Linked DNA regions of Callithrix jacchus. The protein of the gene in region 1 binds, or shares a complex with, the protein of each later gene. Links are inferred from orthologs where the notes say so. Each region holds a gene or a part of one and is shown on either strand. Other genes may lie near its edges.

What was found.
Region 2: the proteins of INHBA (region 1) and FST are in contact, whole or in part, in a crystal structure (PDB 2P6A), measured with the Homo sapiens proteins. The link is inferred for Callithrix jacchus from reciprocal best matches to the Homo sapiens genes INHBA and FST. Residues at the interface, in NP_002183.1 of Homo sapiens: Asp315, Phe327, Asp337, Trp338, Ile340, Ala341, Gly344, Tyr345, His346, Gly360, Thr361, Gly363, Phe368, Thr371, Arg397, Ser400, Leu402, Tyr404, Asp405, Asp406, Gly407, Gln408, Asn409, Ile410, Ile411, Lys412; in NP_037541.1 of Homo sapiens: Trp33, Arg35, Val44, Leu45, Arg60, Phe76, Met79, Asp135, Glu152, Pro154, Glu155, Val180, Val181, Asp182, Gln183, Tyr188, Val190, Arg221, Thr224, Cys225, Arg229, Ser230, Ile231, Gly232, Leu233, Glu328.
Region 3: the proteins of INHBA (region 1) and ACVR2A are in contact, whole or in part, in a crystal structure (PDB 7U5P), measured with the Homo sapiens proteins. The link is inferred for Callithrix jacchus from reciprocal best matches to the Homo sapiens genes INHBA and ACVR2A. Residues at the interface, in NP_002183.1 of Homo sapiens: Ile340, Ala341, Pro342, His346, Arg397, Pro398, Met399, Ser400, Met401, Leu402, Tyr404, Asn409, Ile410, Ile411, Lys412, Asp414, Glu421; in NP_001265508.1 of Homo sapiens: Asn36, Asp53, Lys56, Phe61, Thr63, Lys65, Val74, Lys75, Cys78, Trp79, Leu80, Asp81, Asp82, Ile83, Asn84, Val100, Phe102.

Annotation. Positions count from the first base shown.
Region 1 is NC_133512.1:9,930,313-9,939,767, forward strand, and holds the end of INHBA (inhibin beta A chain), read right to left. Parts: intron 9,159-9,455; exon of another isoform or gene 9,005-9,158; intron 5,709-9,004; coding exon 4,816-5,708; 3' UTR 303-4,815; downstream 1-302. UniProt on the Homo sapiens protein: Inhibins/activins are involved in regulating a number of diverse functions such as hypothalamic and pituitary hormone secretion, gonadal hormone secretion, germ cell development and maturation, erythroid differentiation, insulin secretion, nerve cell survival, embryonic axial development or bone growth, depending on their subunit composition.
Region 2 is NC_133503.1:156,368,521-156,378,563, reverse strand, and holds FST (follistatin), read left to right. Parts: upstream 1-3,822; 5' UTR 3,823-3,985; coding exon 3,986-4,070; intron 4,071-5,954; coding exon 5,955-6,146; intron 6,147-6,559; coding exon 6,560-6,778; intron 6,779-7,136; coding exon 7,137-7,361; intron 7,362-8,020; coding exon 8,021-8,251; intron 8,252-8,713; coding exon of another isoform or gene 8,714-8,715; exon of another isoform or gene 8,716-8,976; coding exon 8,977-9,059; 3' UTR 9,060-9,161; downstream 9,162-10,043. UniProt on the Homo sapiens protein: Multifunctional regulatory protein whose primary function is to antagonize members of the transforming growth factor beta (TGF-beta) superfamily including activin, myostatin, GDF11 or bone morphogenetic proteins (BMPs).
Region 3 is NC_133507.1:82,527,395-82,537,478, reverse strand, and holds the start of ACVR2A (activin receptor type-2A), read left to right. Parts: upstream 1-3,265; 5' UTR 3,266-3,491; intron 3,492-3,816; exon of another isoform or gene 3,817-3,849; 5' UTR 3,850-3,928; coding exon 3,929-3,983; intron 3,984-10,084. UniProt on the Homo sapiens protein: On ligand binding, forms a receptor complex consisting of two type II and two type I transmembrane serine/threonine kinases.

The DNA.
Region 1 (9,455 bases):
GTAGCTGCCACTACAGTTGAAGAAATGGTAAATTAACAGAAGAATAAAATATAAATATTGCTGATCCAAGCATCTGCAGCCCATTACCAGCCGCTGTAATAGCAATATCTATTCTTTTTCTACTTGAGCTCTCTCTCACTCCACCTTTTGTTCTCTTCCACATTCAGTCTGTTTCTCATCCTCTTCTGGATGATTACAGTAAAAACAAAATTGTCACCCAGCAAAGGATGTGTCAATACGTGTGCAAAGCTGATAATGGAAAATCAATAAGTAAGACATAAAATAAAAATAAAAATAAAAAATACATCCCAAACAGGTCTTTTTATTTAATATAAGGCCAAAGAAGCTATCAGGCGTTGCTGAATACTGTCCACTAACTGTACAAAATATTGACTGCATGCCTCGCAAACACCAAAATATCCGCTGGAATGCCATAGAAATAAATAACTTCTGCTATAAACACATGAAAACATATCAAACTGTTATCTCTTTAAACATATTGTAAATAAAAAATTACCAGTACTTCTACACAATAAATATTAAGAAACCATTGACATAGTTGAAATGCACTCATATAAATTAACAACTTTAATTACATTAGCCAAACAGACATTGGTTAAAGAACTGCATGTAGTATGCAAAAACAAAACAAAAACAACAAAAAAAAAAAACAAAGTAAAAAAACCAACAAAATAAAAACGAACAACGTCAACCACAGAACATAAAAAGTTTCAAAATAAAACAGGCTTCAGATTATCTTGGCTTTCATAATTATATTTTTCTTTTAAAGAAAAATATCAACCCATTGTCAATGCACTGTTTTTCAAAGCATTTAAATAGAGGGTAAAACCCACTGGAAATTAATACAGAAGAAATGATTCACTTTATGCATAAAAATAAATAATAATATAGCTGAGACATGTGGTTTGCTTCTGCTCTTGAAGATGTGAACAGCTTCTAAGCATTCAATTTCTCTGACCCATACAACAGCTTCTCAGTGATACAGGGTTTAATTTAAACACATACAATGTCCACCCCCAAACCTTCTGCCCACATCTACAAGTTTCATTTATTTGGTGGGTTTTCAGGGTGACTAAGTTTTTCTCTACACTGAAAAGAGAAGTTGCCAAAAGGTGCACAGGAAATCATTTTTTAAATGAATATGATAATATCGATCCATGCTTAATACAACTGAGACATATTTGTTCTCTGTTTTTTAGAGTCACCTCTTAAAGTCCAATCCCACAATGGTGAAAAAAATATTATTTGCTCTACTGTTAAGGAGACTGCAAGGATTCTCCTTGAAAATGGAATATGGAATCAATCTTAAATAAACATGAAATTGGTTGGTCTTCTGGGATAAGAAATTCCCATCTCAGCGTGCTGGAATTCACCCTACTTTTTGGGGAAAAAAAAAAAATAGAAAATGTCAGTTTGGTCCATAAAATATGTGTTACTATTAAAAGATATCTGAAGACACATGCTTTTCAGGGCTTCTAAGATTGGTTTGGGCAGATTTTTAAGAGCCTAGAGTTTAGCCTTAGAGAAAGAGTGAGGAAATAGCAAGGTTAGATAGCGCCACTCTGGTTTCAAGAAAAAACATACTAAGAACCTCATATGGTAGAATTTAAAAACCTTTACTTTTGGCCTCTTGCTGCTAGGTGAAAGAGTACTTGTTCACAGGGCTTGTATTTTCCAATATTATTATAGATGGTAAAATGATATCTTTCAATACTATCAAAAAATGGTAGCAATTTATACATCTATTTCAAAGCCATATACATTTAATTAAACAAAATCAGTTTTTGGGTGTTTGATAACCCAATCATTAAATATCCAGTTAATTTATGGAATAAGTTTCAAATAAAATATGGAATTACATTTCTCTGCTTCTAATAACTGTGGTCACTAATCAACCGCCATGTTAACCCCAAAATATCTAGGACTTAGCTGAAAAAGATAGCAGATGTATTTGAGATGAATGGGAACTATACATGGGTATCAGCTGTCTTTGTAAATTTCTGCTTTTTCCATGGCCTTAGCCATCTCTGCTACTGCACAGTGAACTAGGACTTAATTTCTCACACTGTTTCTGCAGATTCCAGTACCGAAGAAGACGTGGTTCAAAATGCTGCCAGTTTTCCATGAAATTTTGTAAAGCTGAACATGGCCATCTACTTTTGCCTTAAAACTTTTCTCACCACACCCACCTTCCCACATGCATGATATCCAAGGTCAATGGACCCCGATTAGAATCCATTCTCAATCTTCTCATGCAGTGCCTATTATATTTTCTGCATAAGAAAGGGTGGCCCCTAGAATATAGTAAATGAACTTGCCCAATAGTGACGTTGCCTACATATAGCCTAGCGTTACAGTATACCAACTTAGTCTACTTTTCAACAAGAGATAAACCACTTTTTGTAATGTTTCGTTTCTCACTGATACCTTTTCCTATAATAATTTTTTAATCTACAAATTGACATGGGGCTAAAAGCTTCAATAGTTTACAAAATATTAATGAATATAATTGTTCCCAATTATCAGAAACTTTTTTTCCATTTTTCAAAATATTTGCCAACTTCACACAAGTCTGTAAAAATAAGGCTCTGTATTTTCAAAAGCACAAAAATGAATAATTTATTACCTCTTCTAGGCAAGCTAAGTACTAGAATAAACTAGATAAAAACGTGGCTTTAAGCACGTACTTTGATATTTATAAAACAAAGTTATTTTTTTCCTCTTTGCATCTGAATCAATACAAATTTACACATGAAGAGTTTTGGCTATAAATTAAAATATTAGAGGTTTTCACTACTTGCCCTCGTCTTTGCCTCCTCTTAACTGTTCTTTTCCTTACTCTCTCTCTCTCTCTCTCTCTCTCTCTCTTTCTCTCTCTCTCTCTCTCTCTTTCTCTCAGCACTTTCTCATCAATTAATTCTTTTAATTAGTGACAACATTACTTTACCCAGCTGGTATGGGTAATATATCTCACAACCAAGCCTGAATCATTTTTTAAAAATGCACTAAATTCTAATTCTGGCCTAAGTATTATTTTTTTCTCAAAAATCTTCTGATTTAAGATTGATTCCAATAGACAGTAAGTTGGAAAAATATCAGCCCAGAGCTTTTCTTATCATCCTGTTTTCCCCACAGGGGATAACTTGTAGAAGTGGGAGAAGGGACAAGAAAGAGGAGGCAGTCTGATCCCTGTACATCGAAAGAGGGCCTTGCTGAATATTTGCTGGAATTTCCAGGCTTTTTCCCATCCAAATGTTTTAAATGTGCCCACCTAGTTCAGAGTAAAAGCAAAAACTATAGCCTATTCATCTTAAAAATACTGTGTTTTGCACACAAACATTCATTGCTTTAAGGACATTAAAAAATGACAGCCTGAAGTGCTTAAAATGTGTATGGACATGGTACAATACATGTATATATACACACAGATATGCATATGCACAAGCAATGTATATATACACATACAAGCATGTAGCTCCATGAAGCTGATTGAACTTGATATCCAACAGTGTACAACTACTGTACATGCAGTATGAAATGTCCTGTTTCGTGGATGTAAAAGGAGTCAAAAACCAAACTTCTCAGGTCTTTTAAGCCTGAACACAATCCGCACTACTCCCAACCCCTGACTTATTGATGGTAAATGATACCAACCACAGACAGACTGTTTAAAGGCTCACACAAATGTCTTTGGTGTATGTGTCTATTTTTTAAGGTACAAAATAATAATAATAATTATAATTATAATAATAAAAATAGCTATTTTGTGTGCTGTAGCAGTTCTTTTATAGCTCACATTAAGTGCAGCTCTTAAACCCCACCCCCACCCCCACCCAAAGAAAATACTTGTTAAATAAGGATTAGACAGGTCAAACACCATTGTAGTGCAAATAGTAAACGATTAAAAACAACAACAACATTTACAAAATATAGAAATGTTTGGATCCAACAGATGGACAAACATATTCCTTTCAAGTATCTCTCCTTGAAGAAAATAAAAATTAATCAGATTACTTCCAATACAAAAAAAGTCTCTCTTTTTGTTCTCTCTCAGGTAAACAGTTTCAAACCTATTAGGTTGCATAGTTCTAAGATCATAAGCACCTTAACGAAATGTAACTTGGTTTCTCTTTTCCATGATCTTTCATTCTTTCCATGCTTGTTCTCAATTTTTTAATGTTGTTTGTTTTGTTTTGTCTTGTAGCAAAAGTGGTACAGAAAAAGGAAGTGTGACCACCTGCACACGATTAGTGTGTGTGTGTGTGTGTGTGTGTGTGTATGGTGTGTATGCTGATATACACAGAGATAAGTGTCACACAGACATACCTTATGACCTGGGTAATTGGGTAGGAAAGTGCCTGTGATGGGCCCTTTCAAACTCATGGCTTTCTAGATGCTATTTGGGTTGTTCTAGTCCACACTACTGCAGACTGGACTAGTTGATTCAAGGCTCACAAGGGAACTGCAAGGGGGGGAAAGGACAATACCCCTTTTAAACAACTGATGTCATCAGTGTGATTTTAGAAGAAATGAAGGGTACATCATTTTTCCTTCCCCTCCCAATTCCTGTCTCTTTCACTGCTTCATCTCTGAGCCCTGGCTAAGGATTTTTTTCCCATATCTTCCTTCATCTGTTTCATCAGGTTTTGTTTTTAATTTACTTTTTTGTTTTTGTTTTTGTTTTTTTTTTAATTTCTATTTTTCTGGTTAACTCAGAAACCTTAAAAATTTCTTCATTTTGCCACTGTCTTCTCTGGATAACTCTTGCTCCCTTTCCCCCTGGGCTGGGCAACTCTACGAGCACCCGCACTCCTCCACGATCATGTTCTGAATGTCCTTTTTGATGATGTTTTGACCATCATCATAGTACAACATGGACATGGGTCTCAGCTTGGTGGGCACACAGCACGATTTGAGGTTGGCAAAGGGGCTGTGGCCCCGCATGCGGTAGTGGTTGATGACTGTCGAGTGGAAGGACAGCGAGGACCCGGATGTGCCTGCTATATGGCTCGGGCACTCACCCTCGCAGTAGTTGGCATGATAGCCAGAGGGAGCAATGATCCAGTCATTCCAGCCGATGTCCTTGAAACTGACAAAGAACTGTTTCTTACAGCAGATGTTGACCTTGCCGTCACACTCTAAGCCCCGCCGACGCCGGCGATGAGGGTGGTCTTCAGACTGCCGGGCCTGCAGCATGAGGAAAGGTCTGTGCGACTGCTCCTTCTCCTCATCTGCTCCTGCCCCACCTTCACCTCCACCCTTCTTTTTCCCTTCCCCCTCCTCTTCTTTCTTCTTCTTCTTGCCCAGGAGCACCAGGTTGGCGCCACTCTCCTGGCACTGCTCACAGGCAATCCGAACGTCCAGGGAGCTCTTGCCCTGGTCCAACAACCGCTGGATGCTACTGGAGACAGGGAAGACGTGCCAGGTGCTCTTCCGAGCGTCTACCACTTTTTCAGAGAGCAACAGTTCACTCCTCTCCCCCTTTAAGCCCACTTCCTCGGTCTCCTCCCCTGTGTCCAAGATGCCCTGTGGGTGCTTCTGCTGCTGGAAGAGACGGATGGTGACTTTGGTCCTGGTTCTGTTGGCCTTGGGGACTTTCAGGAAGAGCCAGACTTCTGCACGCTCCACCACTGACAGGTCACTGCCTTCCTTGGAAATCTCGAAGTGCAGCGTCTTCCTGGCTGTGCCTAATTATGAAAGACAGCATAAGAGAAAACAGGGACACCTGTTAATTCCAACTTTAACATGCATTCACAAATTCCAGACAAGCAGGAGTCTTCTGTGATAGACCCTCTCCAACAGGGGTCAGCAAATAATAGCCCACAAGCCGTGACTGCTTCTGTACGTTAGTGCCTGTACATAAAGTTCTGCTGGAGCACAACTATGCTCATGTCTGTACATGCTGCCTGCGGCTGCTTTTGCGCTATAAACCAGAGCTGAGTTGCTGCAACAGACTGGCTCATGAAGCCTAAACTAGTTACTCTCCAGCCCTTTGCAGAAAAAAGTTGTTGGACCCTTACTTTAGAATGAAGAGGGCCTGAGGGTCTGTGTCTGTTGACTAATTGCTTAACCTCAGTTTCGTCTTCTATAAAATGGGAATGACATAATGACATTTGACCTGTTATCTCACAGGTTGAGGAAGATCAAATGAGATAATAGAAACAAAAAGACCGTGCAAGCTCTAGAAAGCTAAGGAAATGCTGTTCTCAGACAAAAATGCAGCCCCTGGCCCCACCTCAGTGTGTAGGTCTGTGCAGGAGGGACACACTGAGCCAGCCTCCTCTTCCCGTGTCACAGCCTGACTCCTCCCCAGTCACCTCTTTGCTGGGTCACCAGCAGCATTTTCTTTACTTTGCTTCTGCTTGACCGAGACAGGCCTTCTCTCCAGTCATTTCTCCATAAGCAGCTCAAAGGATCTTTCCTGCAGGTGGATCTGATCACACCACTTCTTCCTGAAAGTCCTTTACTGACTTCCTATTGCTCTCAGTATCTAACAGAAACTGCCCAGGACTTTGGGCTGTGCGCATGCTGTTTCTACCTTGAAAACCAGCTCTTGCCCAGTCCTGTTCTCTGGGGTCTAGCTACAGTATTCCCTTGAGGCCTTGAGAACCACACCTCCCTCACCTGCAGGCAGTGACACCTGCTGTCTCTCCTGCCTCAAGTGCTCCTGCCCCCCTCAAACTCCAGCATACCACCCTTAGGGCTGCCTTTAATACTGTTTCAATTTTCAGATCGCTTGCATGACACTTTCTCAAGGAGGCTTCCCTCACATCTCCTCCACCACCACCCTCCTGCCAGCCTGGTTTAGAATGCCTAGGGTCTAAGGTCACTAGCATAGTCTAGTGTTTAGCAGAAAGTAGGCAATGACTTGATTACTTATTTAACTCATGGAGGAGTCCTTAGCCTTGAGTTCTATTAAATTAAGATAGCCACCTCATACCTCTGAATCCTCTGTTTTTGCCTGTGACCCATTAGAGTGCAGCTTAGTGAGCACCAGAAACCTATGTCAAATAGCAATCGCTGCTAATACACAGGAAGTCCCCACGTTGTCAGGGCAGTTGAACTTAGCAACATGCAGTTCTAGTCTAACTCTAAAATTAGGAAATCACCTATTTCCTTCTCTTTTCCTAAGCACCTGCATGTTTAATCATGCAGCAGCATTTACTATAAAAGCAGGTTTTCAAATGAGAATTTTTTGATTAATCAGATATTTTCCCTCACTTCCATTTTCCCCACCTTGGTGGCATATAGAAACACATCCTCTTTCCCATGACCATGGACCTCCTTACAACTGTCCGCTGTACATATATCCCATGCACAAATCTGGGAACAATCTTTAAGAAGTTCATCTTAGAACTCGCAACTCCCTGGGAGGATCTCCCTGCCTGGATTTCTATAGTTAACGGAAATCCAGCCATACTTATCACTCGAGGCCCTGAGATGTTTACGGTACTATAAATTTTAGGCACAGTTTCAAGTTCTCTGCAGCAGAAGGCAGGCTTTTCTGTGCATTGCGTACTGTAGATTCTGTTCTTAATTTAACACACTCTGCACACTGTGATTATGATAGTGGTAAATTCACTGAGGCAAGGGACAAGCAGGGCTGCAGATGGATATGAAAGGTTCTCTGGCATCTTTCTATAAACGTACGAGGATGCTGGCCATGATGATGGTGGTGGTGGTAAGGGGAGTTCCTCTGACTCCGACCTCATGTCTTTGGCAGGAGTTGAAATGAATAATAAAGTTGGGTTTAAGATTAGATAGAATACCAGAGCAGGGAGCAGTTAGAGGGAGAAGCGGTCTTATTTTAGGAAGCATGATGACTTATTTTTTCAAAATCTGAATTCCATATTCCCTTTTGCTAAGAATTGGTGGGGGGTTCGTTGTTGTTGTTTGTTTTTTAATAAAGTAAAAGAGATTTCCAGAAGCAGAGTTTAATTATTTAAATCTAAAAAGACTATCAGCAGTTGATTTTAAGGTGGCAAGGTCCTGCCAAGGCCGTAGGAGAAGGCTGAGGGGAACCTCCCAAGCCTCAGATAACTGGCCCGGAGGGTGTGCAGGTTACCTCCAGCGTGGGCACATCCGCCCTGCCCCTTGGAGAATGTTAACAAGCTACCCGCTGTTTTCCCTTCTGCCTCCACGCAGGACAGCTCCTGAAACCCTAAACTGCACAGGGTGTCACTCCAAAACGGAGAGATAGTAGCTGGTAAATTAGAGAAGCCAGAGGGCACAAGGTTGGGCTTTGTTTTTCTAGGAAAGAATGTGAAACTGGAGTGTCTGACTAGTGCCCAGATGGGGAGGTTCACTGGGTTTTGGGTAACTCATCCCCATGGGCTCTGCTCTGCTCTCAACCACACCTGCCAGAAGGGGTCAGGGTGAAGGTTGATGGACAGCAGTGCTGACCTGCCTGCAGCGACCTTTCCATGAATAACATCCAGGGCAGACTACAGATGTTTGGGTGGGGGTGCCGAGGGAGGGTTACTTGGCTGACTGGAATTAGTGCAGCCGCGTGCAAATTGCTTTTGTGGGGCTGGAGAGGCTGTGGCTGCTGGCTTCCAGTCACACAGCCTACAGGACAGCCCCTCATTTCACAAGAGCAGGTTTCTAAGGCATGATCTAGCCCCACCCCTTCTTCACAGGCAGCTGTACTTGGAAGCAAATGATTTAGTGTTCCTGAGAGAGGATTGTACAAAGAGAGTACTCATTAGAGGGGGCTCAATCTGTCAGGTGCTGTTATATTAGGATCAGAGAGTCATCATAAAATGACTTTCATGCTGGTCTTGGCTGATAATTAACTGCATGGCATTGCCTGAGTATTGCGGAGGGGCGCGGGCGCTGATTTATGCATCCGTTTAATTATATGAATTGAAAGACTCTGTTTCCTGTATGTGCATCCACTGCCTGCGTGCTTTCTCTCTCCCCCATATTTCTGACATTTGGATTTTCCCCCTACTAATTGACATGCCTGTCGCCTCCTTCTCCTGGTGTCCATTTCTGGAACTGCTATTTGTATATTGCATGATATATCAAGAAAAAAAAAACAGATCTAATTTCATGAAAATGCTGTTGCCATAATGCTCAGGAGAACAGGGGGAAGAGAGAGAGTCAAGTCTTCCTAATGTCTACCTTGTATGCAGGTACATTTTACAAGTTCTATTGTATTCTGACTTATTAAGCAGTGCATATTTCTTTCTTTTACATTAGCTTTCATTGCAGAAGGGGGTGGGGAGGTGAGACTGCTGGAAACTGACATGGGATTGATGTTTATCAGGGCTGCAGGCTTCAGAAATATATTACAGCCCTGGAATGTCCTAGGTATGAAAAATATAATGAATAACAGGTCAATTTATTATATTCCCTTTATATTACCTGAGAGAGACTGCAATAGTGCAGTGACATTTTCAAGGTGCCCCAATCCTCCAGTCTCCATGCGT
Region 2 (10,043 bases), on another chromosome or scaffold:
CCACAAACCCAATATTTAACATTTACAGACAATATAACAGTAAAAGAAATAGCAGCTGTTTTTCTGTGACGTCACTGAACAGGTGTGGTACCATTTCATACCACAGAAATGGGATGGATCTCTTGCTGATGCCCACAGAAAGCCCATATGGAACCAGTATTGACCTATGTCTCACTTCCTCAGTTATGATCAGAAAATAACCCTGGATGACAAGAGTCATGGTGACCGATCTGTGCTGATTTGAAGCAGACGTTCTCCCAAACAGATCAATACTATCCAAGGTGCAGCTGAAAAACAGGATGAGCTTGTATCATTAAACAAACACCAAGCTGCTTATTCACAAGGGCAAAAGCAACACACAGCACTTGTGTTTTCCACCGTGTGTTTGATGGTGACCTCAGCCCTGACCTGCAGGGCCACCTTCTCTGGGACAGAAGTAATCCTGTGCTGGGTCAGCCTCTGGTACTGAGGGACTCCTATGAGTGGCGGCATTTTTTACAATGAGAGCTACTGTGTCTGCTTTGGCTTAGCCAAGACAATTACATGATGCCAAAACAACTAGTCAATGCAGTTAATTTAGTCAAATGACTGGTCTGAGTATTTGGCATTACACAGACAAAAAATGAAATAGGAAGGAAATTTTAACTTTCACCCAATCATACTGCAGTTGTGAGGTTACAACTTAAATTAATTTAGAAAATTTTTGTGACATCAGTTGTTTCTATACACATAAACTAAAATAACTATCTGGATAAACCAAATAGTTTTGCTCAAACATGCAAGTTTTTTGATTAGCCCCTCCAAATTGCTTCTATTCTAATTTTCATTTAGCTACATAACCTTCCCCCCAAAAAGGTAATCTTTTTGTATACTTGTATGACTCTTTTATATCAACATGTTATATGTACATATGTGAATGAACAAAATTAAAATCTAAAAAGAACATGCAAGTTATATCATGTTCTCTTTGCTATAGGGTTATAAAATATGATGAGATCATGAACTTCAAAACAATATTCCCAAAGATATTCAGAAAATAAATATGGACTAAAATGTGATTCTGTATTTCTCCAGGCAAGATGACTTCATATACAACTGGGCATATAAGTAAAATTTAAATATTTTGGATAGTCCTAGAGTGGAAAGTCTAAGAAAAAGACCCCAGCTTCCAGAGGCTACTGGCCAATTCAGGATCAATAAATATATTTAAACTGGGGACAAACATAAAATCATGTAATTATGTATGAATGAATTTGACAGCATCACCATAAGATCCAACCACTTACCATCTTAAGATCTTTTATGTATTTGGGATGTTTAATTTTCAATCTTGGATATACTGTTTGCCCTAACTTAAAAAGAAGCTGTGTCTCTTGCTGCCATTAAAAGTGGGGGGGGCTTGAAAAAGTCAAGTAACAATACGTGTTAACTTCTCTTTCATTTAACTTTTTCCTGGTGTAGGTGGGGAGAACCTTGAAGCAGAGAAAACAAACTTTTCCTCCAGCACATCATTGTATAAGCACTATACCATCTCTCTGAATAAAGACGAAGAAATAAATTCAGCTTTGGAACTCTGCCATTGAGTGGCGGCTCCTGCAAAGGGGACAGTTTTCTATTAATTGTTAATGTCGTCTGCCATTAGAGGGCACTAAACAACTCTACATTAATGAGTTGGAGGGAAGAGAGAAAAGGAGACGGGAAAAGAAAGAGAAGGGGAAAAGGGAGGGCGAGTCTGGGTAGAGTCCGGGTAGAAGGAGGGAAGGAAAGAAGAGGGAAAGGAGTCGGGGAAAGAGAACAGAGGGAATGGGTGAGAGAAAGGGAGGGAAAGAAAGAAGGGGAGAGAGACATAGAGCGAGACAGAAACAGAGACAACATGATTCTGGAAAGATTAAGAAGCATGTGGAGCCCCCACAGCCGTCTGAAGTGAGCAAAAAGCCAGCCTCCCCCGGGCCGCCCGAGCCCCTCCCCTCCCGTCCTCACGACGGTAATTATAAAGCGAAAAGCGGCGGCGAGGTCACCCGTTTTTACCAGCCTGCTGCACCGAATGCGCGCGGTGCAGGTGCGGCGGCCGCGGGGCTTTGTGATTCATGCCCACTTTCAAAGGGGGGCTTGGGCCCGTCTGAGAGGCACCCAAACAACTGTCTTCTAATATTAGCACGGCTGTATTTCGGGATCTATTATAGTCTGTCCAGACAGATCCCATTGTAATGGGATCTTTTATTAAAAGATTAGCACTATCTCCTGCAGTTGGTGGAAAAAAATCTGTTATCACTGAGTTATTTGCAGTTGTGGAGGGGGGAAGGTTGCTGGAAGATGGGGGGTGGGAGGGCGAGAGGAAGACTGGGGGAGGGTCTGGCAGAGGGAGGGGAGTTGCAGGGGGCGGGAGGGGGAAGAAGGGCCGATTTGAAATCCGTAGGAGAACAAATCCCAGTGACCTGCGAATGTCCAAGAATCTTGTCTGCATACTTCGCTGTCTGTTGTCCTTCGGGCTTCAGAAGCGAAAAGAACAGACATTTAAGAGGCAGCTTTGGAATAAACAATATAGCATTTTCCGTGAAGTAATCGTTTTATATAAAAGGAAATATCGCCTCCTCAGTTTCATTCAGCGGTGCCAAAAAATGTTATAAATGAGAGACCCGCCAACTTTCAGCAAAGAATGCCAGGCACTGTACTTAATAAACTGAGGCTACAGAAGTTCATTATGGATGTTGCAATCTTTTTTATTCCGCGAAAAGAGAGAAGACGAGAGAGAGAGCGACAGAGAGAGAAAGAGAGAGTGAGAGAGAGAGAGAGAGAGAGAGGCTGGAGCCGAGGAGACTGAGAGAGGCACACAGGACAGAAACTGGGGAGTCTCCGGGCAAGGGAGGAAGGGGGGCCAGACCGCCTACGTCGGCGCCCCCGCTCCGGGCTCCGACTCCAGACGCTGCGAAGTGAAAGGGGAGAAAAGAAAGGGAGAGGGCGAGACTGTGCCGGGGGGAGGCCGGGCCTGAGGTGTTAAACATTTTTGTTTGCTTCTGACTCGCCCAGACGAAGGGCCGCGTCTGGGCAGCGCTCCGCCAGGGTGGAAGGTGCCGGGGCCGGGGTTCCTAGCAACAACTCTGAGCTGGGGGTGGCCGCAAAGTCAGGCACGCACAGACCCAGACACAAAACCCCGCCGGCCCCGCGCCCAGGCTGCGGGGGCCGGGAACTGCCCCGAGGCCGGCGCTCTCCGACAAGACCCGGGGCGGGATATTTGGGCAGCCCGGGGCTCTCCGGGCGTTTGCAAAGTCTCTGGAGCGGAGGAGCGCCAGCACGGAGACTAACTCCCGGGTTCCCCCAGCTCCCCCCGCCGTCGCCTCCAACGCCCCCACCGCGCCCTCCCTCTCACACTCGCGCGCGCACACACTCACACACAGACACACACACACACACACACACACACACACCCGCCACCCCGGGCGCGCCGGCGCTGCCGGCGAGCGGCGGCGAGCAGAACTTGAAGTGGGTGTTCTTCCCCACTCCCCACCCCCGATGCGTCGCCCCCACCCCCCGCCCCGGTCGCCTTCCCCCTCCCTCTCGCTCCTACGCAAATAAGAACTCGACGATTCCCCTCCAGTCGTTTTGATTTCGGGCACCTCCGAAAGATAATTGGGAAGGGTTTCCAGAAGGTGGGAAATGTCACCTGATTCACACTGAACTTTTAAAAGCTCCCCACCCCCAAGGAGCCGCGCACACCCTCGCTCGCGGCCGCCCTCCCACTGCCCCACACACTGGGAGACCGCCCACCGCAAACCGCGGAGACCCCCGTCTAGATTTAAAGCGCGGCTGCGCCCGGCTTCTGACGTCCATTGAATCGCGCGGGCGGCGGGCGGCGAGCGCGGGGTTGAGCCGGGATCGCTGCGCCCTCAGCCGCTGGCCTCTGCGACGCGCGCCGCTCACCCGAACCACCCGCCACCGCGCCGGCTCCCGGCACCGCCGCGCTACTCGCCCTGCGCCTGCCCCCAGGATGGTCCGCGCCAGGCACCAGCCCGGTGGGCTTTGCCTCCTGCTGCTGCTGCTTTGCCAGTTCATGGAAGACCGCAGTGCCCAGGGTAAGCGAGGGGGGATGCGCTGGGGAGGCTCGACTGAGGGCAAGGGGGTCGACTTTTCTGTGGTCTCCACTTGGTCTGTTCTGAGCAACGCTGCTCTCGGAAGATGTTGGACCAACTTGGGGACTCCGGGATGGAGAGGAGTGGGAAAATTGAAGGCAATGACACTTTAGGACTGGGAACGGAGTTTGGAGCTCGGTAATCTTGAAAAAGGAAAAGGAGCGAGCTGGGGTCTGAGTAGTTAGGGTTAGATGCTCCAAGTTCTGGCCATGATAACTTTAGATGTGATCTCCTCTGTGGGTCTGACTAAGGGAGCAAGTATCAGTAGTAGCCTGGAGATTTCAGTGGACCCATTTGCAGTTTCTCTCCTTCCCAGATCTTTCGAATACTTTAAGAAAAGCGGGGGAGAACCTGGGGGTTGGGGGAGATATACTGAAATTTTCTTCGGAGGCTGGGGGACGTGGTTTCAGAAACTTTGCCCAAACTTGGAAATGTGGGTGCTGAAATTTTTCAAGGGAAGTAGCTTTCTGCCTAGTGGATGCTTCTTCCAACCCCATCCCCCATCCCCGCAAAGAAAAAAAAGGAGCCAAATTATTACCCCGAAGTGCTTTCAGCACTTTAGTTTTTTTTCCCTCCGCCTCATTCTTCTTTCTGACTCTTAGCCTTCTGTAAAACAGCGAGCAGCCCATAACTGACTTGAATTCTGAAATGGGCTAACAGCAAATTTCTGAAGCTTGCCTTTAAAAAATAGATTTGTTTATTTCAATTAGTCTTTGGGCAGAATGTTTAAAATAATAATAGCAGTTTACAGTCCAATGATTGTTAAAGTCATATTGGTGATTCGTGAGAAGTCTTCCCGGCCCAAATCCGAACATTTAAAATGGGGGAAGAGGGATAAATCACTTGCAAAGATTTCTTGCTAGGTATGAAGTAGGCACGTATAACCGTGAAATGGTAGGAAACCTGCCCCCTTTAAGGCATTACTTTCCCTGCTTCAGCGTTAACATTTTAAGTGTGTTGTATACTGCGCTCCTGGCCACTGCCCCTCCCCGTCTGCATGGCACTGCGCTGGGTTGCCCGCCTTTCGGGGAGAGGCGCTGCCTGGTGCCTGGACGTGGGCGCGGAGGAAAGCAGCGCTCGGAGATTTCGAAAGATCGCGGTGGCCGCAGGCGTGCTCCGGGTCTGGCGGATTGCAAAACGGGCCCGTCGGGCGGGCTGCGCCTCCAGGCCGCGCGGGGTAGCTCCGTGCTGGGCTGGGTTGCTTTTTTTGCTTTCATTTTTCACAAGTGCCTTTTGCTTGATCTGCTCTCTCTCTCTCTCTCTCTCTCTCTCTCTCTCTCTCTCTCTCTCTCTCTCTGCCCCCCCGTCTCGTCTCTCTCTCCCCTCTCTCGTTCTCCCACTTTCTTAACCCCTGTCACAAATAATTCCTGTACCGCCTACATGAAACCAACATGTAAAAACATCCGTCGCATCCTGTTTTTGTCAGGTTCTTTAATCTGCTCTTCGAGTCGCTGCAGGTTATGAAATGGGACGAATAAAAGTAAACAGTCTAGTAAAAGTCAATGCAAGCTGCACGTGTTGTGTCTGGGTCACTGGTAACTGACATTGATATGGCTGGGGCGCTCTGTCTTCTCCCTCTCTCCCTCCCTCCCTCTCGCCCACCTCCCATCTTTGGGATCAGGGCTTCCCCCCACCTTCTTTTCCCACCCCTCCACCCCTTTCGATTTATTTCCTACTTTCCCCCCCGCTTCTCCAGCGTCTCTCTCGCTTCCCCTCCTCCGTGATCACCCTTCCCGTCCGCACCGCCGGGTCTCCTTTACTAACCACCCCCTCCCCCTGCCCCGCCACCGCTCACTCACCCACCTCCCCACCCCTGTCTCTTCACAGCTGGAAACTGCTGGCTCCGTCAAGCCAAGAATGGCCGCTGCCAGGTTCTGTACAAGACCGAACTGAGCAAGGAGGAGTGCTGCAGCACCGGCCGTCTGAGCACCTCGTGGACCGAGGAGGACGTGAATGACAACACACTCTTCAAGTGGATGATTTTCAATGGGGGCGCCCCCAACTGCATCCCCTGTAAAGGTAGGAGTCCCTCCCGACTTGCAGGCCCTCAGTAGAGGGCGTATACCCCTTCAGCTTCCCCGCTACCTGGCTGGGCTTTGGGATTGGAGAGCTTTGTTCATGGGCTTCCCCTTTCTTCCCCTTGCAAATTCGAATTCTGCATGTTAAAAGCTGTAGGCAAAACACCCCAGACTTCTTAGCCAAGTGTGGTGGTGAAGCCCGCCAACCCGTGCTCCTTGACGAGAGAGATCTGGGCTTGGGGCATAGCCCAAGGTCCGCACTCTTTCACCACCTCCCAATCTTCTAGGAGAGAGCCTGGGCCCCTCCAGCGCAAACTCAGGGCTGCAGGATTGCGCAAGGCACCCGAAGCCCTCCTGGCTGACCTGCAGACTGCCTGGCTCTGGTTTTAATCCATTCCTGTTTCCAACTCACAGAAACGTGTGAGAACGTGGACTGTGGACCCGGGAAAAAATGCCGAATGAACAAGAAGAACAAACCGCGCTGCGTCTGCGCCCCGGATTGTTCCAACATCACCTGGAAGGGTCCAGTCTGCGGGCTGGATGGGAAAACCTACCGCAGTGAATGTGCGCTCTTAAAGGCGAGATGTAAAGATCAGCCAGAACTGGAAGTCCAGTACCAAGGCAGATGTAAAAGTAGGTCCTCCCCTGTTGAGCAAGACTGGATCTGTGCCCCTCCTCCAGCTTTGTACCTAAAGTAGACCCTCTAGCAGACCCCTGGGGGATAGTGTAGTCCACAGTAAGAGCCTGATAATAATAAGACTGAAACCAAATAAAGGAGTCCTTTTCTAACTTCTCAAGACTCATTAAGAACGCTGAGGGCGTTAATGTTCTTAACCTAGAGTCATAGATTCTCTATTGAAAACCACAGGGCTCCCAAAATGCCTTTGGAAAGCTGGATGCTTCAGTGTCATGATTTCCTTAGTAACTTCAAGTGCTCATTCCCTAACGACTAGACGGTACCTTTTCATGTGTGTTTCCTTCTTTGTTCCAGAGACCTGTCGGGATGTTTTCTGTCCAGGCAGCTCCACGTGTGTGGTGGACCAGACCAATAATGCCTACTGTGTGACCTGTAATCGGATTTGCCCAGAGCCCACTTCCTCTGAGCAATATATCTGTGGGAATGATGGAGTCACCTACTCCAGTGCCTGCCACCTGAGAAAGGCTACCTGCCTGCTGGGCAGATCTATTGGATTAGCCTATGAGGGAAAGTGTATCAGTAGGTATTCTGGATTGAGGAAAGAAAAAGTGAAAACAGGCTAGTTCTGGTGTTAAACTGTGGGGTTAACTAATAAGTAAAGCCCAAGCCATCCCCAGACACCATAGGGAGAAACACGCTGCAATTTGGGGAAACTGTTGTGACCACAGCATTCCTCATGGAAACCGTTCTTCTGGAGGCATTGACATATATTTAAATGCCAGCAGGAAGCAAAAAACAGTATTTCATCTTAGAAAACTTAGAACTCACTCAATTTTACACATTTTTTTAAGTGCCAGACTTGCTGGAAGCGAAAAATAATTACTTAGCAATTCCTGAAATCTGTTATCAGATTCTAGTAATTGATGGAATTCTTTCTTTTGCAAAATATCCCACTTGTGGGAAATAATAAGATACATATTTAACTCAAGAATATTGTAACATCTTGTTCCAAAAAAAATACTATTTTCATACACTAATGTAGTATGTAAGAAACTGCAGGGGATTTTTGTGTGTGTATGTGTGTGTGTGCATTTGAGTTTCAGTTTTATTATCCAGCATTTTTGCGTAAAAGCTCCATTAGCCCATCTGTAATAACATAGAAATTATGTTTAGGAGAAAGGGAGAAAAGGGGGATATGGGGAAGTCAGTTTACTCATCACAAATGTATTGTATCCTAGAAGCAAAGTCCTGTGAAGATATCCAGTGCACTGGTGGGAAAAAATGTTTATGGGATTTCAAGGTTGGGAGAGGCCGGTGTTCCCTCTGTGATGAGCAGTGCCCTGACAGTAAGTCGGATGAGCCTGTCTGTGCCAGTGACAATGCCACTTATGCCAGTGAGTGTGCTATGAAGGAAGCTGCCTGCTCCTCAGGTGTGCTGCTGGAAGTAAAGCACTCCGGATCTTGCAACTGTAAGTGCGATTTTTAACCTTGCTGCCATTTAAGGCTTTCCCGGGCAACCCCTAGGGAATGGGCACTTAGAAAGCAAGCAGATCTCCCACAAAATCCATTTCTGTTCAAGTTAAATAGCTGCTGAGTATCACCAGCAATTCAGTAATCCACAGAAAAATTATCTGCAACGTTTCTTGGCTTTTAGGACTTATCCAGTGATCATCAATGGGCTGCCTCTAAAAATCCATTTCCAGTTGTTCACCCCTATTTCTTTTGCTTTGGTAGTGTGCTTTGCTGTTTGCTTTACTAACATTTGAATCTAAACTAACTGCTTCAAACGTTTTTTGTTTTTTGTTTTTTTCCAAAGACAGCTTCATGTTATCACACATGGGTTGCTGCTTTTTCGCAGTTGCCTCTACTCTGAATTAAGGACTCAAAGCAGTTATACCTAGAACACAAGAGCGCTTTTTATCTAATTTCAGGAATCTGCCTGTAAAACCTGAGCCATTGATTCTTCAGAACTTTCTGCAGTTTTTGACTTCATAGATTATGTTTAAAAAAATTTTTTTAACTTATTGCTTAACAGCAGATGCCAAAAACAAAAAAAGCATCTCACTGCAAGTCACATAAAAATGCAACGCTGTAATATGGCTGTATCAGAGGGCTTTGAACACTTACACTGAGCTGCTTCTGCGCTGTTGTTGTCCATATTTAAACAACAGCTCCCCTGTATTCCCCCATCTAGCCATTTCGGAAGACCCCGAGGAAGAGGAGGAAGATGAAGACCAGGACTACAGCTTTCCTATATCTTCTATTCTAGAGTGGTAAACTCTCTACAAGTGTTCAGTGTTGGCATAGCCTTTGGGCAAAAAAAAGAAAGAAAAAAGCAAGAAAAAGAACAAAAGAAAAATATATTGTCTATACTGTAAATAAGTGTATGCTTATTTATTTGGGGGGAAAACTATACATTAAAGGACCTTTGTCCTAAAGCTCTCTCCCAGGCCACCTTGTTACTCATTGGACACGGAGAGGCATTCTTTGTGAGGTCTACTGGATGAGGCCCATAGTTGAGACTTGTAGACATTTATTTATACTGTGTCATGTTTTATAATTTATACATAAAATGTCTGGTTGACTGTATACCTTGTTTTTGAAGAAATTTATTCGTGAAAGGAAGAGCAGTTGTTATTTATTGTAAGGTCTCTTGCTTATAAAGTAAAAGCTTTTTTTTCCTTGTAAACCATTTAAGTCCATTCCTTACTATTCACTCACTCCTCTGTCTCCCTTCATTTCACTGTTAGACTCTTTTCCACTTTTAGCAAACTTGCATGTCAGTTTCTGTCATGTTTATTTATTGGATTCTCTGCTGCCTGATCTGTACATACATGATCCCTCGGGTTTTGTTTACAAGGAACCTTGACTGACCAAAAGGCATTATAACTCTGACTCAAATACAAGGTACAGAGGATAAGCATCTTTGAGGAAACTCCTGCTTCAGTTCTTTTGTTATGATGAAGACATTTGTGACAGAGGAGATGATTAGAACTCTAGCAATGTACTTCCAAGATGTTACAGATCCAAAGAAATGATGTGGGTGTCAGGAGACTGAAGGATGGTGAAGGCTACACATTCAACCTTTTGTTAGGCGTTTCCTTCAAGCTACTCAGCTGTACCTTTTTAATTAGTTCTTTTTCAAACAATATGTCACTAAAAGTTATATCAAAGCTTTATCAGTTCAAGTTTCTTGCTTTTCATAATACTTTTTTCTGATGCAATTTTATATTTTCAAACATGGCAAGTTAAAATATAAAT
Region 3 (10,084 bases), on another chromosome or scaffold:
GAAAAAGTCAAATATTACCTCTGGGATGTTAGACAGAAACCAGTTGGTTGTTGAGATTTATATTACATCACAGCTAGTTTCTCTTTAACTCTTCTAACTCACTTTCTTCACCTAAAACCCTTTGTCTCATCCATTACTTACTGGGCCCCTTATCCATTCCCATATTCTTATACTCCTTGGTATGTCTCTTTTTGACCCCATTGGCACAGTGCAATGCTATATAGAACATAAGAAGGGGAGGAAAAAATAGCAGCAAAAGCTAGGTTGTAGAGAATTTTCTTCCCACCTTGGGCACTTAAGTAGAGGGGGATATTTATAAAGGATACATCGATCATTTCTCCCTTCCTTGGACTCATGCATTATGCCTTACAGCACTGGCATATAAGAAACTCATTACTTGTGCCACTTCAAGAATGCTCATGTTATCTGAACACAGGAGAGTTTTATAGTAGCTAGAAAGCAGCAGAAATACTTCTAAATCCTTCATTTAAGGGGAACTCAACATCCTTCATACTCCAAAGGTTTTCAGTCATCTTCCTGAAGATGAAGGAAAAGAGAGTAGAAATGTCTTCCTTAAGTGTCTGTTGGTGGGTCCAAAGGCAAGTTCCATTACAGCCTGGTTCATTTCCAGCTCTACTTAACTGAAGATTTAAACTTCTTCACATCTTTTGAGCTGTGAATTTGTAATACAAAAAGAAATCTTTTATTCTGGAAGCAGTTTGTCTCACTTATTTACCTCTACCTCCTCATCCAGCCAACATTCTAGATTGAACTGGCTTCTCAAGATTCTTCCATCTGGGAATAATTTTCAGTTCAACTGAACGTGGCAAGACTCTGAACTTAAAGTTCTAGTATTGGAGTGGCCACAGGGCTAGGTCTTGGGGTTGGGAAGTGAATGACGATGCTAAAGATATTTATCTCATAATGTCCGATGCTCTGGTCGTTTAGAATTCATGCTTCCTTTTCCTTTCCTCTCTCATTTTCCTTCCCAAACCAGGTTGTACACTTTGCAAGGTGTTAGGAAGTGGCTGGATTTGTGGATTTAAAAAAGTGATTCTAGAAAATAAGGAGAAAAGAAGGACAATGGGGTTAGCCCTAGCTACCTCTTTTTAAGTTTTGAAGCTCCAGTGGGAATTAATCAAAACTCCCTGTCATTTTAGGTTACATTATTTTTGAATTTTTTAAAAAACTGAGGGGGCAAAGTAAACACATTTAGGAACAGAATAGCTAGCTACTGTTACTGGTTGTTAATACTTCTCCCCTGGGGTTATTACTATTATTTTTTGTCTTTGTTAGAAAGGAATGTTCTAGTGAAGACTGGTTGCGTGTCTTTAATACTACAGAAAGATGATTTTCATGCTCTTATTCTTATACTGGCAAATTCAGTTGGTAAGATAAAGAATATATTTTCAAGTTTCAGTTGCATTACTCACTATTCCAGTTATTCCACTTGCTCTGGTTTCACAATTAAAGAAATATTGAAATGATGGATAGATAAGACAATAGTGGGGCCTGACCCTGACAACACATTCTTTAATGAACTTCAAGTGTTTCTAGAGTAAAATATACTCTTCCATTCCAGAACCATTAGTGAAACTCTTAGTTCAACCAGAGAATGGAAGGTTTATACATATTCCTTTGCCAACTCACAAAGGTGGGAGAACTACATGAAATCAGACACCTTTAATACCGACTTGGGATTTTAACTGTTGCAAATATCAGTGAAATTCTGAGCACCACGACTTGAGAACTGGAAATCTTGGAGAGAGTTTAAAAAGCCACAATGATTATTAATAACCCTGACAAGTTGTAGAAATGGGCAGATAATTACAGGATGAACTTAATAGAAATACGGAGTAATTTAGAGGAAGTCAACTGCTATAAATATAAGTGAGAAGACTTGATTTTGTGGGAAAAGGTGGGAATCAGTAAACCACAAGTAAAACATAAATCAGCTATATAGTACAGTTGCTTTATTATTATTATTATTAAAAAAAACTTTGTAGAGTACATTAAAGGAGACTGTACTTAAGGGAAAGGCAGTTATCCTTTAGTCATTTATACAATTATTTATTAAGCACTTATCATGTGCCAGTTGGTACTTCTGGGTGCTGGAATAAAATAAGGAAAAAAAAAAAATCAAGATCTTTCTTCCCGAAGCTCACTAAAGTGTGGTAAATGACAGAGCAAGTACTTTCAATGGTCTTTAGTTTGCATTCTGCAGCCAACTGAATACAGCAAATACTAAAAGCTACTTGAGGTAGGGATCCATCCTATTTTTACCTGTTGGATCCCATTCCGTGCCTAGCACACCAGCTTGTAAGCAGTCAACATGGATTAAGGAGTAAAAGCAGGCCCTAAAAGAGCTTAAAATTTGAACATGTAAACACTTGTCTGATCATTAAATATGTCGATCGAAATTCCCAGTTTTTTTCTTCAAAGCGCAGTAAACAAGTATTTGTGCCCCTATTACGTACAAAACAGTTGTCAACACAATTCTTTGTGTGTAAAAGGAACGGTGGGAATGAATTCAAGTTGGGCATCGTGATAAATGGCGTGAATACCCTGACCGGGTGGACAGCCCTTCCTCCGTGTTTTTTTTGCTCTTCTAGTCACCAAGAGAGCACGCGTGTGCAAAAACCGCAGCGGTGGGATGCACAGCTAAATCTGGGGGCTCAGACACCAGCTCGCGGATTGCGAGCTCGCCTGGGCAGCTCGGCGGGCGCGGCGAAAATAGCTCCCACGGCCGGCTTCCACCGATTCCTCGGTCTCCGAGAGGACGACGCGTCCCCGCCAGAGGAAAGACTGGGCGCCACAGACGCCCCTCGGAGAAGCACCGGCCACTCGCCCCACCTCGGGGTCCTGTTGCTTTTGGGCTTCCCCTGACCCTTCGCGTGGGCGCTCCAGAGACGTCAGTGGGAACGCGATTTGCAAACGGGGCGCGCCCGGCCACAGCCCAAGCACAGCTCAGAGACTTTGAGGCGCCCGCGCCCCTTTGTCGCGGGATCTCTCGCCCAAGCAGGCCGGACGCCGAGGCCTCGCGGTATCAAGCCTCCGTCCGCCCCGCCTCCTCTCCCTCCACTCGGCCCCGCCCTCGCTCTCTCACCCCTCCCCCGCTCCCGCCTCGCTTCCCCGACAATCTCCTCGCGCTCCCGGCCCGGCACGCGCGCTGCGCCGGGCCGCCGCTGCAGCCGCCGCCGCCGCCGCTGCCGCCGAGCGTTCCTCCGCTGCGCGGGGCTTCCAGCTTCGGGCCGGAACCGGAAGTGTGGGGGGCGGAGCCCGGCGGAGGCCAGGAGACCGAAAACGCGGCCGAGTCCGGAGCCCGGAGCCGGAGCCGGAGCCAGAGCCTGGACCAGAACTTGGCCGCCGCCTGCACCGCCGCTGCCGCCGCTGCCGCCCGCCGCCCCTTCCCCGCACCGCAGCCGCCTTGACCGCCACCGCCGCGAGCTTGGCCGCCAATGGTCCTGAGACATTAGGTGTCCGGGTTGAAGGTCGGTCCGGACGTCGGACCCAGTCGGTTCCCAGACTGTCCGGGCGGCAGCGGACGCCGCCGCCGCCGCCGCCTCCTCGTCGCCTCAGCCTGGCGTTTTGTTTCGAGAGACCGGAGAGGCGAGCGGAGCTGACAGTGATTTTGACAGTGATTTAAACCCGCTTTTGTTGTTGTTGGCTTTTCGTTGTTTGGTTTTGTGTGTTGTGCGTGTGTGTGGCGGTTTTTCCCCCGTGGTGCATTTTATTTTTTATTGTTGTGCTCTTTTTTCTTTTTTTGTTTTTTAAACCCAGTGAACGTTTTTTTTTTTTTTTTTGGTCTGGGCTCCCGAATATGTTTTATGACGGTTGATTTTACACCAGGAGGTTTGTCTCCGAGGAAGACCCAGGGAACTGGATATCTAGCGAGAACTTCCTCCGGATTCCCCGGCGTCTCGGGAAAATGGGAGCTGCTGCAAAGTTGGCGTTTGCCGTCTTTCTTATCTCCTGTTCTTCAGGTAGGTGCAGGGAGCGCGGCGCGGCGGGGCTGCTCCTGCGGCCGCGGCGGCCGCTGCTGGGGGCCGCGGCTGGTGTCGGGTCGGAGAGTCCAGTGGAGCCTGGGGAGGTTGCCCACACCCCGCGCCCCTCGGCTGCCACCCCCCAGGTCTGATTGTGATCTGGGAACCTCCATGCATTTTTCTCCTTTTGAGTTGGGTTGGCGTGATAAGAGTGAGTGCTGTGTTGTTGTGGAAGTGAGAAAGTCATGTTTTGTGGCCATAACACTAGATGACAAGGCTGGTTGGGTTGCAATTAAGCCGCAAATACCACAAGTGGCAATTTATGCAAAGGTTGAGACCCGAAAGGAGTATTTAGTGTGGGCTCCCCTAAAACCAGGGTTGCTTTTTGTCATCTTTTAATTGGTGCTTCACCCGTGAATATCACGACATAGATCAAGTCAGTTGCTGCTTAATTTTGGCTGTGAGAAGCAGTACATCCTTTCAGTAGATTAATCTGGGTCTCCCCTCACGTTTTCTTCAACTTCAGTGTCCAGCAGTGTTAAAAATAGTTGTAGTTGTTGTTGGAGTATTAACTATAACCCACTGCAGAAGAGGTATGCCGCTTGGGGTTGGTAATGTGCTGGTGTTCAACCACCATTTGTGTGCTCTTTGGGGGCATAGATTTTGCTTACCTACGGAATACTTATTTTAAACGCTTTGTATTGAAGCGTTGTTTTCGGTTTAGAACAACCCATGTGAAATTGTTTCTGTTGAATATAATAGACTCATAAAATAGGTTTTAGCTAAAGGTTGGGGGAATAATCTGGCCATTTCATATTGGAAATTTCGATTTTGTGAGAACGTTCTGTGGTTGCAACCAGTGGTTGGAAAAACTATCTAGTCTTTTGTATTTGAAATTCTATAAATGTATACATCATTAGCTCAGAGGTGTGCAGATGTACACAACAGGAGACTTAGTTCAATAGATGAAACATTTTAAAAGTCTCATTGGATCTATTTATCGTAAAATTTAATATTCAGTTACCAGCTTGTGGCATAGAATTACTGGGGACGGGTGGGGGGGGCAAATTGACAGGTTTCATGGCCATGTCTTTATCTCGTTTGCCATAGGAAAATTAAAGGGTGGTAGTCTTCTTTGTGTACCTCTATGGGGTGTGTGTGTGTGTATGTGTGTTTGTGTCCATCTTCCCCAACCCCCTTTAAATAGAATCTTTTGTAATGTATAGAATTTTGCTGAATGGTACATTTCCTTGTGGTTAATAAATGGATAAAGTCTAGTCTTATGTCTGTAGTGGTATTGATCAGTTCCGGGTGGGCTGAATGTGTTGTGAAATGGCGATCATTGCCAGAGATTAACCAAAAGAATCATGTCTGTTTAAATGGAAGAAGGAACATGCTTAAGGCAGGCTGACAGTTCTTTTTGTGCATGGTTTGGGGAGGAAGCTAAACAATGGTGTGTCTGAAATGAATGAAGGCCTTGATAACATTAAACCTCTTGCTCTTGTGACATGATTTAACCATGTAGTTTTTATCTTTCCAGTAGTACTCTTTTTTTTTTCCTGCTTCTATATGTTGTGGCTGGTGAACTCCTCTTGTTCAAATCCCTTGTTGTGATCTCTTGCCCTTGAGGAGGAGGGGCATCATGGCCACTGACCAAGGAATTGTGGACATTATTCCCTCCAAACCCACCTGAGTCACACTAATTGGTGAAGGAGGTTATTCTTGAGCAGTCTCAAGGTATTACTTCTGGAAAAGCAGGCTGTTGCTACAGATCTTACAGCTTCCTCTGCTTGGTTTGGTAGTAAAAATAACTGAGCATTAGTTTCTTGTGGGATTATTTCCATTGGGCCAGGATTGTTTTCAGTGGGCCAGGAGGTTAACAGCTATAGTTTTGAAATAAAGTAATTTTGTTGCTATAGGGCATATAGATAGTCCACTTATATTAAATTAATATTGTGTTGTTGCATAGGCTTTTTAAGATGAACATTCCCAGTTGAACAAAAATTTGTGGTTCTGTTGAAGATAATTGAAATCTTAAAGACCCTAATCCATATTTATACATGAAGAATTTGAGTACTTAAAATGTCTGATTTTTAAAAGGCTTTTGTTATGGATCAGATGCACTCTAAAAAAGGATTATTGTGTTTCTCCAACTAATTGATTTTTCTACAAAATGTGTAATCTGGCATATTGGAAACATGAGGTAACTATTTTTATGAGAATTTAAAAAGTTCTCAGTTTGTCTATTTTCATTTCTAGATATTTTATTTCATTTTTTAATCAAAATGGGAAACAATAGTAAGAACAGTTTTGTTCCAGGTGTTTAGGAGGAATGTTTACTATTTCGTGGACTCTAATTTTTCAAATTCTATCCCATGATATGTATTCTGGAGACTGATTATGCAGACTATTCCTGTAGGATATGGCCAAGTGTATAATTTCTTCCTCTTTCTCATTCCAGGGGAAGCATTTTAAATTTTGCCCTCATCCTTGAGTGCCTTCAGATTCTCTTTGATTTTGAATTTTTTCATTCCTCTCATACCTCCTTAGATTCTGTTTCAAAACATAAATCTTAGTTTTCTTTTTATAGCATTGTGGTTAATTTGTATCTTTCCCCACAGTTTGTTAAAGTATGAGAATGACTTTAGTACTTGCCTTAGTACTTAGGTTTATCCCATTTAGAGTGATGCAGCTATTGTGGTATTTGAGTTGCATTGAAGTAAGTTGAGAATTCCTTTGGATTTTGTGGGAGCTGCAGCAGTATGGTCAATCTATTTGATGAAATAGGAAATGGAAATATGGTAATCATGTTACATTTTCTTCAGTTTAGCTAGGCAATACTGTGTATGTGTGAATGTATGTGTGGTTGGAGGGAGAGCTGGCAGTACAGATAATCTTTTGAACTTTGGCTAACAAGTGATGGATGTTAACACTTTGTTTTCTAAAAGGCAGAATCTCTTATAAATGCTGTTTGCGGTCAAATTCAAATATATACATTTGAAACATGGAGACCAGAAAAAAAATGAAACAAAGTTCTCCTGCCATTCATTTTGTATTATTTTTTTTCCTATTTGTGATCTAAGCCAGTAGTTCTTAGGCTGGGGTGATTTCCCCCTCCCTAACTCCCCAAATCCCCATCCATGGGACATTTTGAGACATTTTTGGTTGTCACAACAGGGGCGGGGTGTGCTACTGGCATCTAGTTGGGTAGAGGGCAGGAATGCTGCTAATTGTCCTACAATGCACTGTACAGCCTTCCACAACAAAGAGTTTTCTGGCTTAATATGTCAGTAGTGTAGAGGTAAAAAAAAAAAAAATCCTATTCTAAGAAAACCATATACTACATGTTCTCACTTATAAGTAGGAGCCAATTGATGAGAAAATATGAAAACCAAGAACAGACAATGGGGTCTACTTGAGGATGGAGGGTGGGAGGAGTGAGGTGAGCAGAAAAGACAACTATTGGGTACTGGACTTAATACCTGGGTGAAGAAATCTGTACAGTAAACCCCCATGATATGAGTTTACCTATGTAACGGACCTTCACACCTACCCCTGAACTTAAAATACAAAAAAAAAAAAGGAACAACTCAGTTCTTAACTCTTAATATTTAAAAGCATTAGTTTATTATTAAAAGGGCTCTGCTCTCTTCCCCCTAAAGTTTGTAATCTGTGTTTTACAAGTGCATGGTATTGATGATCTCCCGGTGACCTTGTATTGAAAGTTTTTATCTTTTCATTATCTTTTAAAATTAGAATATGATTAAATTGGAGAAACAAACTATAGATATGCACATCTTTCGTCCTATTATTCTATAATAAAAATATTTTGATGAGTTATGGATAAACTCTCCTCTCACCTATTTTGATAGAGTGCTCATGAAGACTGAATGTTCATGGACATGATGTATGATTGGTTAAGGTATCAAGTTTAATTATATTTGCTTTAGAGCCAGGATTTTCTTTGCTGTGATATTATCTTTAAGGATATTTGTGTTTATTCTTAGTGACATCATTGGGCTGCCTTGTGGTGGTATGTGTGTGTGTTTAACATGTTGCCGGAAATATGTTCACGATTACATGTTCTCTGAATGGTTTCAAGGTAGAAATTCTGTTTTTTAAAAAAATGTATATTCCTTTTGTCTAACTTTAATTTCAAGGAACTTTAACCTAATCTCTTAGTTACATAATTTTCTTGAGAATCATTAGCTGGGTTTGGTTACCATTAGACTAATTTATGATACAGTAAGTAATATTTTATGATCTATTGCAGATCCTTTCCCTTTTTAAGGTTAAATCTTGACCATAATTAATAAAATAGCTACCTTGTTTTGAACTCTGGTTTTAAGGAAGTTAACCCAGCCAACCAAGATAAGAATTACAGTGAAACTCTTAGCAAATTAAGTAGCACTATACCATAGAGAGGAAAATTCTGAAGTCATTCCCACAAATGGTATCCAAATGAGCCTCATACTGTCTCTGTAACACACGTCTCCATATCCTTCTCTCTGATACTGACGTTTTCACCTTTTGGGTCCACCAGATTCACTGCTCTTAAGAAATGAAGAACAACTAAACCAAATGAGATTTCAGTACTCTCTAAATTGTTTCTTTAGATTCTAAGACTATTTTGTTGCATTTTGACTTTTTAAAGTGCTACTCTGATTTTCTCATCTTTGATATCTACTAAGTCTGTGATTTAAATTGGTCTTTTCATGGTCTGTTACGTTGCCACTTGCTGTATTGTCTCAGATTATAGGTAAGGTTGGCAACATTTGATACTAGGGTCACTGGTATGCCCTCAGTTTTTGCTTTTTTCTCTGTAACTCCTCATTTTTTCCATTCTCTTTCATTATAATTCCCTTTCCATTTTCCTCCCTTCTCTGTCTATTCTCTTTTCTTTCCTTGACCCTTCTGTTGTACTTCTCTATACTGCTTGCTTGTGGAACCCAGTCATTGCTTAGCATCATGGGTGGCTCAAGAGGGCTTACCCATGGTTTTGAATGAAAACAGATTGAATCTAGAATGCTTGAGAATTGGACAGATAGTCTTTTCTACTGTTGTTCTTTTATTTGCTGGTTTCTGGACTACCACACACACCCGCTTCGGAGTAGTGTTACTCTCTTGGAATCAAATGGCTTAAACTTCATGTTACTCTTATTCCTTTTTAATATTGAAGTTTTCCTTAACTCTTTGCTGCTTCAGAATAAGTTTCTTTTTTCTTATTCATTTGTCTCTGTTTAAACCAAAATTTGACTAGACCCGAGAGTATTTTTATTGCTGCTGATAGGACCACATTAGACTTCCTCTGTGGTACATTTAATACTGTTAGGTTATGATAGTCATGTCTAGACAGAACATTGATTTCAAATTGACTATTGAACATGTGAAAATTCCAGGAATAGTGTATACAGGGAGGAGGAGGAGGAGGAGGAGAAGAAATCAAGAAGGTAACAGAACTACTGGAGACATCAATTGACTTTCTGTCATTCTCCACCTAGATTTCTTTTTAGTCACATTTGTATACCCAGTGCATCTAGAGGTCAGGCTTTGTTTTAGTAAAGGGATGTAAAGGAAATATGTTTTTGTCTCTGAGGTTGGATTTTTTGAACTGTTAGAATGGTCGACCTAAAGGAAAAAATTGGGAAGTTCATATGGATAGTGATCAAGAATGTGGTCATAGAGTTTGGTAGACTTGAGCTCTGGTGTTAGCGCTGCCAGTAACTAGCTCATCTATCATTTTCTCTTACTTGGTTATTACAGTACTTTTCTAGCTAAGATTTACCAGTCCCCTGTTATTACTTCCTTTTCTTTCTAGTCCATCTGCATAGCTGTCAGAGTGATCTTACTAAAAATCTGAATATGTCACCCTTACTTTAAACCTTTCACTGACTGAGTCACCTTTAGCATAGAATCTAAAGTCTTAGAATGTCACTAACAAGTCCTTCATCATTTGGTTCTTGCCTGTTTTCCCTAACTTCTTGGTATTGGTTAAGAGTATAGATTCTGGACGTAGACTTAATTAGTTTAAATCTTGGTTTCATAACTTAACCTTGGTCAAGTTACTTTACCTTTTATGCCTCAGTTTTCTCGTCTACACA